Linked DNA regions of Caenorhabditis elegans. The protein of the gene in region 2 interacts with the protein of the main gene of each other region in a pairwise test. Each region holds a gene or a part of one and is shown on either strand. Other genes may lie near its edges.

Region 1 (3,370 bases), on a different chromosome or scaffold from region 2:
GTTTATGAATCAAGGGTGTTGGTTTTCCGATTTCTCACTTACATTTACAATAATTTTTTTAAAACAATTTTCACAAAAAAAGGGAATTGATCGTTTTTCCATTTTCAGAGTAATCGAAAAAGCTGGCAAATTTTCTTCATTTTAGAAGAAAACTTTTTTTCTCAACATAAATGAAATTTGATTTTTGAAAACTTGAATATTATTGTTAATTTAATTTTTTTTTGTTTTTCGCTTTTCTCTGAAAAAATGGAAAAAATTCGATGACACTTTTTTTGTAATGTGATGCACAACCGTACGGAAGGAAACTTTTTAGGCTTGCTTTAATAGTTCAAAAATTATAATTCTAACCTCTAATACAGTTTTATACCCGTCACGCATGAATCTACGACATCCATATTTTCCAAGCAATCGTTGAGTGATAGTTTCCCTTGTCTGTGAAACGAGTTCTGGATCTTCAACACAGAATGCTGGATAACTGATTATTCCAAGAAGTGCAGCATCAGTTTCCTAAATGTTTTATTTGTTCAGGAATTTCTGACAGATTTACCCTACTTTACTAAATGATTCTCTTGGAAGCATACTAGAGAGAACAGCGGAGCATTGTTCTATTTCATCGGGAAGTACGTGAACAACTGATCCTCTTGAACCATCAACAAAAAGATCACCGACATCGTTAAGTGCTTGCAATGCAGCTTTAACCATTCCGATCGATGATGCATTCAATTCTCGAATTCCTTGATTTGTTTTGTCTCCACGCTCCCATACACCATAATCCTGAATAATTGGAAATTTTAATTATTTTATTTTTAAAGGTTTTCGGGAAACATACTGGAGTTCGGTATCCGGTTTCAATATAATAAACCAGATTTTGTATAAATGCAACTTCATCGAAGTTTCGGACTACTTGTAGACCAGAAGCTGTAATTTGAGCGAGGGTGAGAAGATAAAGTGAGATTGCATCCATTTGAAGATGTCCCCAATCAGCATCACCACAAACTGTTCCCTTTGTTCCGACAGCAAACTTTGAGTGTAGAGCATCAAGAGGCCGCTGATATTTTTTGAACAGTTCGACTTTCTCGGCTTGTCGCATTAAACATTCCAATATCGACTGCATCATTTTCACACTGAAACACCCTCCAATGTAGTTTTTTGAGTTTTATAATCTGTTACCATGTGAATCCTAATTCCTTTGCTTTTGTGAGATCTTCGTCAAAATCGGCGCATTTCATATAAGCTCGATAAAGAGCCCATAATGCTTGTGCGATGTAAACATTATCTCGAACCCAAGCATGACCTGAAAATAACAATTTCATCGATTCAATTTGTTTTCTTCAATACCTGGAAAATCTTTCTGATTGGCAAATAATGCTGTTATGGGGTTTTGATGACTGCAAATGGTTTGCTCCACCATGAACAGAATGCGGTCGAGACGGACCCCGGAGCCGCTCCGGGATCGCATTTTCTCCGATTTTTTTCTGGAACGAAAATTTAAATAAAGTGTTACAAACCAATAAATTAAATTTCCACAACAGAAACAAGACTTCGTGAGAGTAAAAGAAAGAAAATGTGGGTGAACAAAAATGTGCGCGTGAGTATTGGCTCTGTCCGAGAGGAGTACACACAGCGCGGCCTGGTTTTCCATAGTTCTCAAATCTAGGCCATCTCAGTTTTTGAGAAAAAAGTTAAAAAAAAAACACTTTTTTTGTTTTAAAACAAATTTCTTGACTAAAAATATTGATTTACCGTCTTTTTTCATTTGAGTTTTATATTTAAGTTATCGATCCATTATCTAACAAAGTGTTGTTTTATCCTTGTTTTTTATTCATTAAACCAATATATCAATATGCTCTATTATTTAACAGAATGGCTGCTCGATTTGCCAGAGGGTTTGTGAATCGAAATCCACGGAACAATGAACTTATGGGAAGACAAGCGCCGAACACAGGTTATCAATTTGAAAAGGACCGTGCTGCTCGAAGTTACATTTATAAGTAAGTTTTCTGTTCTAAAATAAAAAATTTTATGTAATTTGTTTGCAGAGTAGAGCTTGTGGAAGGAAAATCCCATCGTGAAGGCCGCCTTGTACATTATCAAGATGGAGTTGTAATCAGTGCTTCAACAAAAGAACCTTCAATTGCCAGTCAGCTATACAGTAAAACTGATACATCTGCTGCATTGAATATTGGACGAGTTTTGGCCCTTCGTTGTCTTCAATCTGGAATTCACTTTGCTATGCCTGGAGCAACTAAAGAAGCTATCGAGAAGAGCCAACATGTTAGTGTTTCAAATAATCAATTTTATAATACGGATACTGAGGTCCTGATAAATTTAAAATTAACTTCTCTATTGGTTTTTGTCGAAAATAACTTTAAAAACTTGAAATGTTTCGAAAAACGAATAGTGACAGATTTTAGGTTGTTATTAAAAGCTAATTTGTCTACCTTATTACTCGAATTAATTTTCAAAAATCCGTAACTTTCTATGAAAAGATGTGTACCAGGAAGCAAAAATTATTTTTTGCTGTTTGCATTCAACAACAATTATTTTTCAGCAAACACACTTCTTCAAAGCTCTGGAAGAGGAAGGTCTCACACTAAAAGAACCGGCCCACGTGGAACATTCCTATGAGACAGACAAAACATTCACATGGAAGAGGTACCCACAGAAGCCAACACGTCAGGATAAACTCGACGAGCTATAATTATCCTGCACTTCTAAAAAACGTTTTTATTGTAGAAATAGTTTATGACCTTCAATTGTTTTGTTCTCTCCCTTGTTCTTGTTTCGTCTCTTTCAACTTTTATTAGAGTGAAAAAAAAAACTTTTCTCTGACTTTGAACAATTTAGAACTCTATTCACAATCACCCCCTTGAGCGTCGTAAGTACTAGAAGTTTTTTGCCTTTTTGTTTTAACTTCGAGATTTTTTAATCCCGCCTTCTCAAGCTTCGGACTGCAAACGGACATACATCAAACATTCTTCGATGCATCGTTTTGGTGAAATGACGAATGATGTGATGAAAGGAGGCCACCACCACCACCACCAATTCCCCGCACCCTCCTTGTAATATTCATGGGTGCTCGGCGAGCAGAGACGAAAATGGATGGACGAGATATCAGGGGATTCGATCTGACAACACCCCCGGTTTTCTCCCATTTGGGTTCTTTTGAGCACCTTTTTTTGAGTTTAGAAAATCTTTATTTTTAGAGTTTTTGAGCGTACTTTTTTAACTCCTTAGAGGCATTGAAACAAATGTAGTTCTGACTATCTGGTGTTGTATGTAGAGCTCCATGTTTTATGCATATGGATTTAAATTTCAGGACTTAAATTTTCGACGTCACCAAAATTGAAGTTGGTGACATTCCTGAAAA
Region 2 (5,780 bases):
AAAATTTTATTTGCACTCTGTTATAAATTTTGAAAATACTCAAATTGTGAAAAATTGTTATGATGCAAATTTTCCAAATAAAAAAAACTGAGAATGAATTAAATTTCTTTAATTTTGAAAAAAAAAATGTTTTTTCTCCAAAATTTCAATTAACCATCAAAAAAAGTTCAAAAAAATTTATTCAACATGATTAAAGTATAAAATCGTAAAAATTGGAAAGAAAAATGTGGCTATTACGCAAGTGGTTCAAGAGACAAAAAAAAAGTACAAAATATCGATAAAACAACACAGGAAAGCTCGTAAAATGTGTAAATCGAGTGTAAAATACAAAAAAAAAGAAATTTATAAACCAAAAAAAATTGAAAAAAAATCCGTAGTGTTCTGTGGTTATCCATTCCGAGTCATGGAAGGATATGCTATACAGATAATTAATATTTTGAGGCGGGGGCGGGGGGGGGGGGGGGGTATTCTACATTATAAAAAAAAATTAGAACAAAATATAGTTTTTTTTTCAGAAAAAAAATCCAAAAAAAAAATTTTTTTAATTTTTAAATTTTTTAAAATGTTCTGATTGTAAGGGGATTTTCAACTGAATTTTTTAAGCTTTTCATCACATTTTTGAAGAAAAAAATCAAAAATAATTTTATTACGTTTACACTGTGCATATCTAGTCGTACTCGAGATCAGAATTTTCCAACTCATTTGGGTGGCGCCTGAAAAAAAATCAGTTATTAGTTTTTTTTTTTTTTAATTAAATAGATTAAAATTGGCTTATTGAAAAAATGTGTTTTTTTTGTAATTTTTAAATATTTTCAAACATTTAAACTTGAATTTAAAGTTTTTAAATACAATTCTCACCTCTGTGGAGTATCTATTCGGCTAATAGTGACGTTGATTCCAAGGTTTCCGTTTTCTGAAAAAAAAAGTTGATTTTTGTTGAGGGTAACTTTTAAAGTTTATATTCCGGAACTGACAAAAATTTTGCTACTAAAGGTCGATGCACCATATCTCGCCCAACTTTAAAAACTTTTCAAAAAAACCTCTGCGGATTTCGGTTTTTATTTTTATTTTTTAATAGACACTTTGTTAATATCTTCAAAAATTGACCGAGTTTATCAATCTTAGAAATTTTTGGTCGATGCACCATGTTCAAAGGAAACTTAATTTTTTTGGATTTCTGGTTCTATCGAAAAAGTTCCAACTCACAAAATATTTGTTCTCGTGTTTTATATAGTTTAGCGGTTACATTTTTGTTAGCATTCACACACTTAACCGGGGTATCGGCTGTTAAAACTATTTCGGTCGATGCACCATGATGCACTCAACTATTCCAGCTGTATCCCTTGTCTAACAAAGTTACCAAAAAAATTGTCAACTCACAAAAAAAGCTGTTTTTGCTCAGTTTTAACAAAAATTGAAAGCTCAGTTTTAACAAAAATTGGTAATTTCCGATTAAGATAAAAGCAAAAGTCAATGCTCACCTGCAAAAAGCTGTGCAGCATTTGAATCGAACGCTAGGCAATCCGACTGTTGAATGGCCACTACCACCCCCTCGTGGATGCTTCTCGGTGTGGCTTCCCATGACATTCTCCGGCGGCTCGCCGATAGCTCAAGCCGGTACACAAAGTTATCAGCTTCCTTCTTCGAGCCAATCAGCTGAACGACTGCGTAGAACATCTGAGTTGGCTGAGCTGGATCGTACTTTTCCTGCTTCTCGAGCACCAACATAAAATTATAGTCAAAGCAGCTCTGCATCATAACCCAGTCAACTGCTCCAGGAAGATTGATGTCAGTGGCCAGGAAGACGATATCCTCGCCTTGAAGCGTCGTGATGCTCTTGTGGATCTTCTTCAAATGCTCCATCACATCCGACAAGCCTCCCTGCCACTTGCAGCTAGCTCCAGGGCACGGGCAGCAGTAGGGTCGGAATTCGCAGAGCTCCTCGTGCTCGGTCTTATCAGCGTGATGGAAGTTCAGGGGGCAGCCGGACGTAGAGAATTTGCATGGAAAGCGGACGGTGTTGGCGATCTTCTCGAGGCCCAGGTTGCGGACAGAAGCTGTAAGATTGAAGGTTTAGTCTTGAAATTTGAGATATACTCTGAAACTTTGAAGATCCGTAGATCCTTGATTCGTTAGCTACATTAGAGAAACAACACAGCTAAAATGCTTAGGCGCTCGACTGAGACAGATCGATCAACCAGAAAGGATCTTAGTCTTCTATCATATCAGCTCTGCTCAAGCTGTGGTAATTTTTTCAGCTTTGACTAAACTCTTCTAGTCACGCAATTTTCAAATTTCAACTTCAAAACTCACGAGTTGGACCCCGACAAGTCGGGCAGCACTGAAGCTTTGGTCTGCAGTTCGAGCAGACAAGATGTCCGGATGAGCACTGCATGTATGGTGGCAGCATGTACTCCAGGCATACCGGGCACTCAAACACCGACAAGATCTCTGCACTGCTGTCGTCGGTGGCTCCACCGCCGCCGATTGGAATATGTGGTGCGACGCTTTGGATTCCTTGCGCGGTCGTCGTTGTGTTGTGCGGTACTGGAAAATTTTACATTTTAGCGTTACAGTTCTGAAAATCAAGAAAAACTCACTACTTCCCGGGGGATTACTCTGAACTCTGGCCATCGTTTTGCCAAGCACTGCGGTTCCAGAGATTGTTGACACTGCAGACGGTGGCGATGCCGACATCCGAGGTGTCAATCCGATTTGACATTGCTGTTGTGTGATGCCTGGCGGGACCGGTGGAGGGTTGCCTGGAAAGTAAAATTTAATGGTGCTAGTTCTGGGCTCCAAGATATAGTTTCACACTTACTTCGCTCATTGAGCCAATTTTCAATACACTCAATAATAAGCGCATTCACTACGCAGCAGCAAGAACGCATGTGGGGGAAAATGCGATCATCATGAAGCGAGCGAGCTCTCCGAGAGAGTTTTCAGCAGGTATATAAAAACTAGGGAGGGGCTCCGAAACACCGCTTTACGATGCATATGTCGATTATAACACAGAGATAGAATAGCGAGTTTTCTCTCGGGGGTGGGAGTAAAGAGGAAATGTTGAGTGACTTTAATTGGTGTCGTTTTGGATGTGGGGGGGGGGACTAATGACTGGTGAGCACGCATGGTTGGAGAAAGCAGGGGATTTGGGCTCCGGCTTAAAGGTTTGGCTGGCTGAAGGTAGTGGTGTGTCGGAAAAATCACGTGGTGTCAGAAAAAACCCCTGCCATCACGGTTTGATCTACAAAAAACGCGGACTTTTTTTGCGTAAAACTTTCTTAAGCCAAATAAAATGAGAACTATGCGTCTCAACTCGTGCATTTTTTGTAGATCTACGTAGATCAAACCGAAATAGGACATTCTGGCACCAAGTGAAATGCTGAAACAGTGATCTTTTAATCATGTCTCAATTAATAATACTCAATAGAAATTCAAAAGCCGACTCTCTTGATTCCGTTGGACAATTAAGTCCTTTCTTTAATTTTGGGCCGTTTCTAAGTTTCGGGGATGAGCAGGCTTTCAAACAAGACTCAAAGTTTTCAAAAAAGTCTCACCATTTGAGTGATTAACCATATCTTCGACTAAAGAATTGCTAGTCTGATGTCTGGATAGATGATTCGCTTGCGGAGCCGAATCGCTACTATTATTATCGTCCTCCTCAAAGATGAGCTGTGTACGACGAAGAGACTCGATCACGTCCTGATAGTCTCCTCCTCCTCCACCACCGTTCCGATTACTCATCAGCGAAGGCAGTCGAGATGACGAGGACGACGATGTTGGAGGTGGTGGGTGGTTCGGTGTCTGCGGATGCCGCCGTCTTCCCGTCGTCTCTGTAATTGGTGAGTTGGTGATAACGAATTGTGAGTGTTTTGTTGTTGTCACGTGAGAAATAGTCGCTGGAGGTCAAATTGTGAGGAATTACGAAGAGAGTAAAGTTTTTAGAATAGGTTTGTTGAATCAGGAGTGGCACGGGGTCTCACATGGTCCCATTACGATTTGATCTACAAAAAATGCGGGAATTTTTCGCCCAAAAAATGTGACGTCAGCACATTGTTAACCATTTGAAATCAGTTGGGAACTCTTCGTCTCAACTCCCGCATAGTTTGTAGATCTACGTAGATCAAACCGCAATGAGCCACTTTGACACCACGTGGCAATTTTTTTCCGGCAAATTGCCGATTTGCCGTTTGCCGGAAATTTTTAGAGGGATTTTTTAATAAGACGGAAGCACTTGAAACAGTGTCATTTTGAAAGTTTTTTTTTCCCGTTTTCTTTAGATACATTCATTGAACTTGCTTACTTTTCAAAATAGATGTAGGAACATTCATAGGATGCGTACAATTTTGCCAATTTAAATTAAATTTCTAAAATTTCCAGAAAAAAATGTGGAAAACCACAATTTGCAGAAAAATGTTTGTGAAAATTTTTTGCCGGTTTGCAGTTTTGTCGGAAATGTTCATTTTCGGTAAATTACCGGGAAAGTTGTGCAAAAAAAACAACTGAGGCTCAAATTTTTTAATTAAAGATTTACTAGGAAATTTTGAAAATTTTATATTAAAATTTGAAAATAATCGCCTAAAATCAATGCAATCAAGAACAAAAGATGAGAGATGGGCTAGGAAAATCAATAAGATAAGTAAGGGATAAGGTCCGATTTTCATGAACTTGAATACCTAGTATAGATACTAGATTCAGTAAAACGTGATTGCAAACTATTTGAATAAGTGACTTTCTAAAAATGGAAATTTGAAACATTCAAAAAAAAATGTAATACATTCACAAAAATCACTGAAAAGTTAAATTATGGTTATCTTAAACGAAATAGTGATGAAATCCATGAAGAAAGTGGTAATTTTTTCGGGAAGTATCAATTTTAAGGTTCTATTGTCCACACAGACACTTTATAAATCAAGTCGCAAGCAGAGAACAACAACAAAATCTGGCAAAAGAAAACAACTTTACTATTCGCTTTTTTTTAGCTTTCTCTAAATAATATTTTCAAAACCTAACAAAAGGATTAAAACCCTCAAATTCGACGATTACTTTGCATAAATACACAATAGAAATACGAATAAGAGAGTGAATAAAACGAAGAAAAGAGGCGAAAGGAAGAAAAATATGAAATAAAACGCGTTCTGTGTGCGTACTCTCTCTCTCTCTTTCTCTCTTTCACATCTTTTCACCAACGAATGACTGACCGGGATAGTGTGGGTGGTGGAAGAGACGACAGAGAGACCGACGACGAGATGTGTGGGCTTGTAAGAGAGTCTCTGTGTTTCTCTACCAGCTGACATGCGAATGAGAATGAATCAAATCGATTTTTGAAGAGAGAGAGAGAGAGAGAGAGAGAGACGGTTGGAGGGAAGGGATGGTGAGAGCGATTTTATATGAAAGGCGTATCAGGCACCAATAACCTTTTTAAAGTAAAATTTCAAAAATTGATGGTCATGCACTGTTGGTCATATGGAAAGATCAGCTGTTAGGGTGACTGGTACCCGGGTCAGGTGCTTGTGCTCTCGGTGGTCGATGAGAGGCAGCATAGGGAATGTAGCAATAATAATAAAAAAATAAAGTGACGTTTTATTGAAATTCATATAAGGAAATGTAAGGAAATTATCTGAAGGAAATAATCTCAATAAGGCACACGATTATTTGTTGCTACAACTAGCATTTCAGTAGCATTGGAGATAGCTTTGCAAGCTTTAGGTATATTGTGTTGGTATCAGGCTGTCCCATATCGGTTTGATCTACAAAAAAATGCGGAAATTTTTAGCCAA
Region 3 (7,754 bases), on a different chromosome or scaffold from region 2:
GTGTGGATACAGAGATATCGGTTCCAAGCATCACCATCATTTTATGATCTCCTCCGTTTGGGGATGTTCCTCCTGGGACGTATCGAGATGTTGATGGTCCTGATGTGTCGGTAATCTGGAAATATTAAAGTTCATACAACATACAATATACAGAGTGCTTGAAAAAGCTTTTTAGAAAATCCTCACACTCATGCATCCCTGCTTTGCCAGCACTGCGAGATCAACTGCTGCTTGTCTAGAGGCGACCACTTCCAGTTTCTTTTTTCTATAATATTTTTTTAATGTAACTTGAGTAAAAAAAAAATTACAAAAACCTACCGTAACCTATCATCAATAGTCGTGAGATTTTCCAAAAGTGTCAAATACTGTGACTTATCCTCGACTTGTGGTCTTGGAGGTGTTGGTGTGGATGTTGAGCAGCTTGGGCGGGAACGGATACGACGGCATCCGATGAGATCTCGACGGGGTTGAAGGGCTGGAATTAGGATGTTAATATGAAAAATCGTCAACGGTCTTGTTAAAACACTTTTGGAGTAATTTTACAGATCTCTAAAATAGTAAAAGTAAACCAAAAAATTTCAGATCTACTTTTTTCCTTCAAACAAAAAAAATCGAAAATTCTTACCTTCCTTGCTCATTCCACTTTCTAAGCACTTCCTATATCGACAAGCTCTGCAAGCTTTTCTTGCCATTGTAGTGACGTCACATGGCTTTTCCCGTTTGCACTCTGTATCCTGACGCTGGACAACTGCTCTGGAATATGTTGAGGTTATTGATGAGTTTTTTTGAACCTAGGGATCTTGTACCTTCGAAAAAACGTTTTGCATCCAAGGCACGCCACGATTCCATAATGTTTTCCAGTTGAAGGTTCTCCACATATTAAACATTGGCCAATTACACCTGAAATGTTTTTGGATATTTAGATTGAATTTTAAATATTTCGGTTTCAAATAAGAACTCATTATTCATACATTTCACTTTTTTGGGTGATCTATGCTCAAAAACAGTAAACTTTTACTATCAGTTGTTGGAAGCAACTGTGTGCTTGAGCACATGGTTTCACTGATTTTATTGATAAACATTTTTGCTGAAACTGGCAAAAATAGTGAAAGCGGAAAGCAAAAGTTATAGAGTTGGGGATCAAAAAATTTTGATTACTGTAACTTGGCATTTGCTAGAAATTTTCGAACTCTTCTCTAGTGAGATCTTCTAGCATCTAGACCTGCAAACTGGCAAAATAAAAATTACAATATTTGGATTCGATATTTTTCGGTAAACTTAAATATGAGGTTTTTTGAAATGTTGCAATTTTTTAACAAAAGAATCTCACCCTTTTCCGGCTTCACACTTGGCATTTGTGGTGCAATTGCGGCTATACTCGGTACACTTATCACTGATGTGAATGTGGGCATTTTTTGAAATGCCGTAGACATTGACTGGCGAGGCGCCGTTATTTCTGGAAATTTTGGAATTATAGAAAGAGTTTAGACAAAGTTGTTTCAAAATTGACGATATAACTTAACAGTTGAAAATTTCTAATAGAATTTCTAGTGTTATCCGAGGTTTCGGATATATGCTTAAATTTATAAAACAAGTATATTTATATCAAACAATTCAAATCTGATATTCTAACCAGGATGTCCAAAATCAACGGATTACTTTATGGTAACAAGGATGGGAAAATGTTCAATTATCAGCGGTCACGAGGCGAGTGAAATGAAACGACGTCGTTGATGAAAGGAGGAGGACGGAAAAAGATACAAAATGAAATGAATGATAGATAGTGAATTGAGAGAGAGATTCCAAGAAACAGAGAAATATCATCGTGACAATCTCTGATACACATACACACACGCACGCCACAAACACGTTGGACGAAGGACGTACGGGAAGACGATAGGCGTGCGATGGCCGAGAGAGAGGTAAGCAAAAAATTAAATTGGAAAAATTACTGGAAGTATGGGAAAAATTCATCTGGTAGAGAACCATGATATTTTCAGACCAAGAAGTTTAGACTCAACTGTGAATGTTTCATGCCTATTTAGCACGCCTAACTCGCCTCAAAGGCATCCTACAACCGCTGTTTTGTGTATTTTAATTGACTTTAGTAATCATATTCATACCAATAAATGGGACGTTGTTTTAGACATTTTACGGTTACCGTGTAGGCGAGAAGTAAAGTATTTTATGCCTAATTGGAGGTCAGGATTCTGATCAAATCCTGTTAAACTCCCCCGATCACTCTACCTGAAAAATTTTTGCAACTACCACCACTAACACAAAATGTGATAATGTGTTTTGAAAATGTTGTTGAGAAGAAGTAGAAAATAGAAAAAAGTGTGTTGTCACGTGTGTGTGGTTCTCGCAGCAGGAAGGTTAGTTGACACCACCATCACCACGAGGAAGATCTTTGGGGTCTCTCATGAGTGATCGGTGGAGATGGAATTGGGAGAAGCAATTTGAGGGAAAGTCAAATGAAAACATTTTTATTTTTGATTTACAGATAAGAAGACACTTTGAATATGATTGTTGTAATTGATAAAGCTTCAGTAATTCAGGTTTGTTTTTTTTTCAACTAGTCTTAAGACGGAAGTTCAAAACTGTAGTTGAGTTTACTGGAAGGGAAACTGGAATATTATAGACGTTGACACAAAACCGCTTACCTGCCTACCTATAAGGCCTGAGTTCTGAATGGTGACCTATTGCATGTGAAGTTGGTCTACATTGTACAAACGACAATACCGAAGCTAACCCTACAATGTTGGATGTAGGCGGTAGGTAGGCACTTAGGCAGGCAGGCTTGGTGACACTACTATTCCAAATGGAAGCTTTAGAGGATCATAGTAAAAAATAAATAAAGTCATTTATAATATGAAAAATGGAACCTGGGCATTATACATAAATTGAAATTCAGAGTTATATTATTTTATGAAGGCAGGGCTAATTTTAATATTTTTTTTTTAATTTTAATATTTTCCATTCCAATTGTGTGAGATAGGATGCACTTAAATTGAGAACTAAAATTTACCACCAATTTTCAATTTTTAGTAAATTTTTGGTGAGGTGAAGGATACGTTTAAAACTACATTCTCTTTTACTTGGAAAATGCCTATTTTGCAAAGCAGTCAGGAATAATTATCTCTCATTGGGATTTGAACAAAGTTTTAATTATTTTGCCAGACACCTAATCTCAAAGTTAAAACCGTGTTTCATGTTTTCTTGGTCAAAACGAGGACATCTCAGTCTTTTCTGTAAAATACCGCAAAAATGACATCACGAGGTCAGAGATTATGAAAGAGAAAAGTAATTGAGCGGGGGAAAGGGAATGAAACAAAAAGTTAACAAATATATATGACACCGAATTTCAGTTTTCAAGTTGCATTCCAGAAATTCATTGTTTATGGCAGATGCAACTTTTTTAAAAATTTCAAAAAATATATTGTTTGAATTTTTGTTATGTTTGAATACCAACTACCTTCGAAGCAAAAAGAAAGACAGAAAAACAACATTTTCCGTGTTAAGGTAAAAGGGCACAAGTTTGTATCTTTGTAGTCCGCAAATTGTACTATGAAATGCCGAAAACGTGTTCAATTTTTAAAGCAGGAAGCAATCACTCTTCAAAGTTTATCTAGGTTCCCACGACCAAAAAGATCTGGTAAAAAATTATTGGCATCTGGTTTATTTTATAGTTTGAACTTTTGTTTCAATCAGAAAAAAACGGGGAAATGCTGTAACTCTATGTATAATTTCAAAGTACACAGTGGACTTCCAAATTTTTTTAATTATATATTGCAGGTTGCAAAAAGGTGTTTTTTCTTTACAAAACTCACACGAGATAAAGAGTATTTTTTAACAAAAAGCTTTTTCAACCTTAAAAAAATATTAGAAAAAAAACAATAAATTTCCACGAACCCCCACATTAAACAAAAAATTCAAAAAAAAAGTAAAATTGCACACGGGAATTGACATCAATCTCTGGTGTATTGTGTTGCTAGAGTTGCATCGCCATGGGGTAGAAAACGCAAAAAATGGAGGAGCGAATGGAAAGTAAGAGAGGAAGAGAGAAAGCACGCGCTTTCTATCTCACTCTCTGCGTTTCTCTTATTCCCCGTCACTATTTCATTTTTGAGAGAAAAGACAGTGTACTTGGAGTTGTAGGGCACTTGGTGACACATACGCAGACGACTAAAGGAAATAAACACATTGATATCACGTGGGGTTGAAGATCAGTCAACGTTTTTTATGAGGACGAATATTTACAACCTTACATGGATTTTGGCGGTTTTCGACCGCTTGTAAATTACGAATTTCACAATTTTTGGGAACCGTTTTAGAGGGTTTTTATAGAAAATAGCATTTGAAAACAAAGTTGAAACTGAAGTTATATATGTTTTGTTTGTACCAATTTTGTATAAATTACAATTTTTGTAAAGTCTCGGAGCGCTTTCCAATATTTTTGTAGGAACCAAAACTGATGGAAATAGTCTAGTTTGTTCCGAATCACATTTCACTGCAAGTGGTTTGAATATCAAGAAATCAACGCAAACGAGGCTCAAAAATCTGCAAACCACCTCTATCCTTGTAGAATTTTATTTGTCGCTACACCGTTCTCCAAAAAAATTTGAACGAGGTATTTACGGTATTGAAATTTGTAGTTTCGCTGGAATTGAATTTTACAATTTATCAATTTTAATTTTCCCCCGGTTTCACATTTTATCGCCTCATCACTTTATCATCCTAATAACCAAAGAACCGCCCATCTTCACTCTCAACTATTCGTGAGCTTTGGTTCTTCCTTGTGTCCCACCTCCCTCCTCACCAGCCAGCAACTTTAAATACACAACACAAAATATGACAGAGATCACTATGTATTACCATACGAAACCAAAAAACGTGTTCTTCGCATTGGTGTTTGGGCAGAAAATGGAGATTATGGCTTGATGCGGTCTTGTCCCCGATTCTCAAGAATTCTCCTTACAATCGGAATACTAACTAGACTATGGTTCGGTAAAAAAAGAATCTGGTAATTTTCAAATATCTCTATCCGCGATCTTGAGAAAAACCATAAATAGAATATTTCCACAGAAGACCAGTCACACTTTTTTCATGAACACCAGGTTTTCTGAAAACATTAAAAATCATATAAAATGATAGAATGCCATGATAGAACATTACGAAAATTGCTGGAGTTTTGAAAACATGTCTGCCAAAATTTTGGCAAGTTGTCAAATTCTTGAATTCTGAATGAATCTACTTACATTAATTCAGAGCACAAAATTTAAAATATTACTGACTCAAAAGTCATCAAGCTTTCACTATTATCAGTTACAAGAAAAGGGAAAAGTGTGCTTGAGCACATGGTTTTTTTGGTTTTGATGATAAATAACTTGGGTTTGAAGCGGGAAAAATGGAAAGTTTGAATGTGTTTGTAGTTAGATTGGTCAGATTACGGTACTAGCAGTATATTTTTTTCATTGCAACATGGCCTCAAAAAGGAATCAAATTGGCAATCAGCAGCAACTTTTCAGTCAACTCAATTTATTTTAAAGTGTCAATTGGAAAAGTTGCCAATATTGGCAAAAAAGGTACAGAATATAAAGAAAAAGACACAAACAACGGTGCGAAATGCTTTAAACGACGCGGGAAATCATTGAAAATGGAAAACTCACCACTTTCCAGTTTTGGAAACTGTGATGTAGCTGCTCCAAAATTGGCAATATTGAGACCTGCCAGAAAAGTTGGCATTGTTTGAAATACAGTAGTCATTATTATCTGGAAAATGTTTTCAAGAAATTGGGTGAAGCATCTGGATGAAAAGGCGTTAGAGCAACAAAAAAAGACAATTTCAGGAAAAAGCTAACAATTCTAAACAGAGCATAATTGTTTCCAACTCCAGTTTCTAGGTTTTCCATATACATTTACTTCATCAACTAGAGCCTAGTAACCACACATTTCTCCTCAATCAAGTGTTTCATTGAATTTTTCACATCAAAACTCACAACTTCCCACGTTGTCGTACGTAACTCAACTCAAGGTAAACACGCGTGGTTAAGGCAAACAAACAATTGTAATGAAGGGAGGAGATTGAGAGACAAAATTGATCTTTACCCGCCAAACAAAAAGATACACTTATGTGTGTACTTTGGCACTCGACAAAATTCCATTCTATGTGAGGGGATCAATGTTTGCAACACAAAGGCCCGGTTGGACACCTCTCCTTATTGCATACCGCTACATTACTTTGAAAGGTTTTAACTCGGTTTATTTTGAATATACCAAAAAATGATCAACTGTAAAACAATAGAAAAATAAATAACAAATGTTTTGCCAGTTGACAACTTTTGGATAACTTAAACGACGGCTGAGATATTAGTTGTCAAAGTTGAACACCACTAGTAAAATAATTACGGTAAAGTGACACCACATTTCTTCTATACAATATTTTTAAATTTTTTGTTGTTGCACAATCAGATTAGCATTTCTATCTGATCAAACATTTCTAGCAACCTCTTTATTCTTAAATTTTACTTTATAATTTTATTTCGGTCTGCCCAAATGTCTGTATGCCTATTGCAAGAAAAAATATCGCAACAGCTACAAACAACGTGTTCTCATCTCCAAATGTGTTATCGTCATGATCTATAAGTAGAATACGATGGAGGATAATCAATCTTTTTAGCAAAAAAAAGAAAACTCTCCGCGTGACTATGAACCGATTGAACCATTTATCTTGCAATCCATCTTCGCTACACTTATCAATTGATATCTGTTGGAATAAGAAACTGATGGTGACAATAAAAATTTCAAATTTCTAGAGGCAGGGATTAGAGGAACAATTTTTTAATTTTTAAGGAGCTAGTTGTAAGCGAAATTGGCTTTATGAGAACTTGTCTTTTTTTAATGAAAAATGCCTCAATTTGTCGAAAACTTTGACTCAAGCAAGTTTTCTGTGCTATTTTTTAGGTTATTGAACAATTGGAAATACTGCAATATTTTCAGTTAATAAAGGCTCTAGCAGTACTTTTAAAAAGCGACGAAACAAGAATTCTAGACGATAACAGAAAAAAAAACTGGAAAGAACTACTACCACGAGAATTCTCCACGAGTGTTATCTATTTTCAGAACATTTCGAAATGCAGTCTGCCAATCCCGCCTCCCGATTCAAAATTCTGTCACGTGTGTTTACAGAACGATTATTTACGGAAAAAGCGAGTAAAAACAAGGTTAGGTGTACTAATCCTCCTGAAAAAACCCACCAAAAAACTGAAAGTTGCAAAATGTATTCTAATTCTCGCAGTCTCTCTAGCTATTTTCAGTGGTTACGTGCAATTTTGCAATCTTTTTTTCGTTTGTTGTTGGGTTCCACTGTTCTTTTATTCTCTCGTTTTCTTCAGTTTTCAGCTTTTTTTGTGTTGTTTCTTTTTTTCAAAATGTGTGCTGACCACGTGACGTTGTTGGACATGAGGATTCTATAGACAAAGAACAAAAACAGTACGCACGAATGTAGGCGCACGATGAGTGTAGGCCGCCTTTCATTTTGCGCCTGACAATGCAAAAAGTAAGATTGAGCTCATTTTTAATTTAAATTCTTTCAGCATATCTTTTTTAAAATTGGGAAAATTATGGAATACCTCATAATTGGAGGGACTTTTAACTGATACAAATATGTGGCTCTTTAATTAATTTGAATGTTTTTTATTTTATTTTAGTACTGAGTAATCTCCTCAAATTATACTCGAAAACTTGATGAAATT

The links. Proteins that work in one complex are often made in the same cells at the same time.
Region 1: the proteins of siah-1 (region 2) and mrpl-18 interact in a two-hybrid assay, tested with the Caenorhabditis elegans proteins (one large-scale study listed by BioGRID).
Region 3: the proteins of siah-1 (region 2) and nhr-19 interact in a two-hybrid assay, tested with the Caenorhabditis elegans proteins (one large-scale study listed by BioGRID).

What each region holds. Positions count from the first base shown.
Region 1 is NC_003281.10:8,143,155-8,146,524, forward strand, and holds mrpl-18 (Large ribosomal subunit protein uL18m), read left to right. Parts: upstream 1-1,860; 5' UTR 1,861-1,863; coding exon 1,864-1,991; intron 1,992-2,039; coding exon 2,040-2,274; intron 2,275-2,551; coding exon 2,552-2,701; 3' UTR 2,702-2,820; downstream 2,821-3,370. Other genes in the region: phka-1 (Phosphorylase b kinase regulatory subunit), read right to left, coding at 349-507, 553-774, 830-1,124, 1,171-1,294, 1,339-1,459.
Region 2 is NC_003282.8:3,742,101-3,747,880, reverse strand, and holds siah-1 (E3 ubiquitin-protein ligase siah-1), read right to left. Parts: upstream 3,834-5,780; 5' UTR 3,745-3,833; coding exon 3,558-3,744; intron 2,763-3,557; coding exon 2,601-2,762; intron 2,548-2,600; coding exon 2,314-2,547; intron 2,058-2,313; coding exon 1,482-2,057; intron 914-1,481; coding exon 859-913; intron 714-858; coding exon 668-713; 3' UTR 530-667; downstream 1-529.
Region 3 is NC_003280.10:9,599,477-9,607,230, forward strand, and holds the start of nhr-19 (Nuclear hormone receptor family member nhr-19), read right to left. Parts: upstream 6,051-7,754; 5' UTR 6,000-6,050; intron 5,773-5,999; 5' UTR 5,767-5,772; coding exon 5,670-5,766; intron 1,457-5,669; coding exon 1,331-1,456; intron 901-1,330; coding exon 807-900; intron 754-806; coding exon 626-753; intron 476-625; coding exon 319-475; intron 266-318; coding exon 187-265; intron 116-186; coding exon 1-115. UniProt on the Caenorhabditis elegans protein: Orphan nuclear receptor.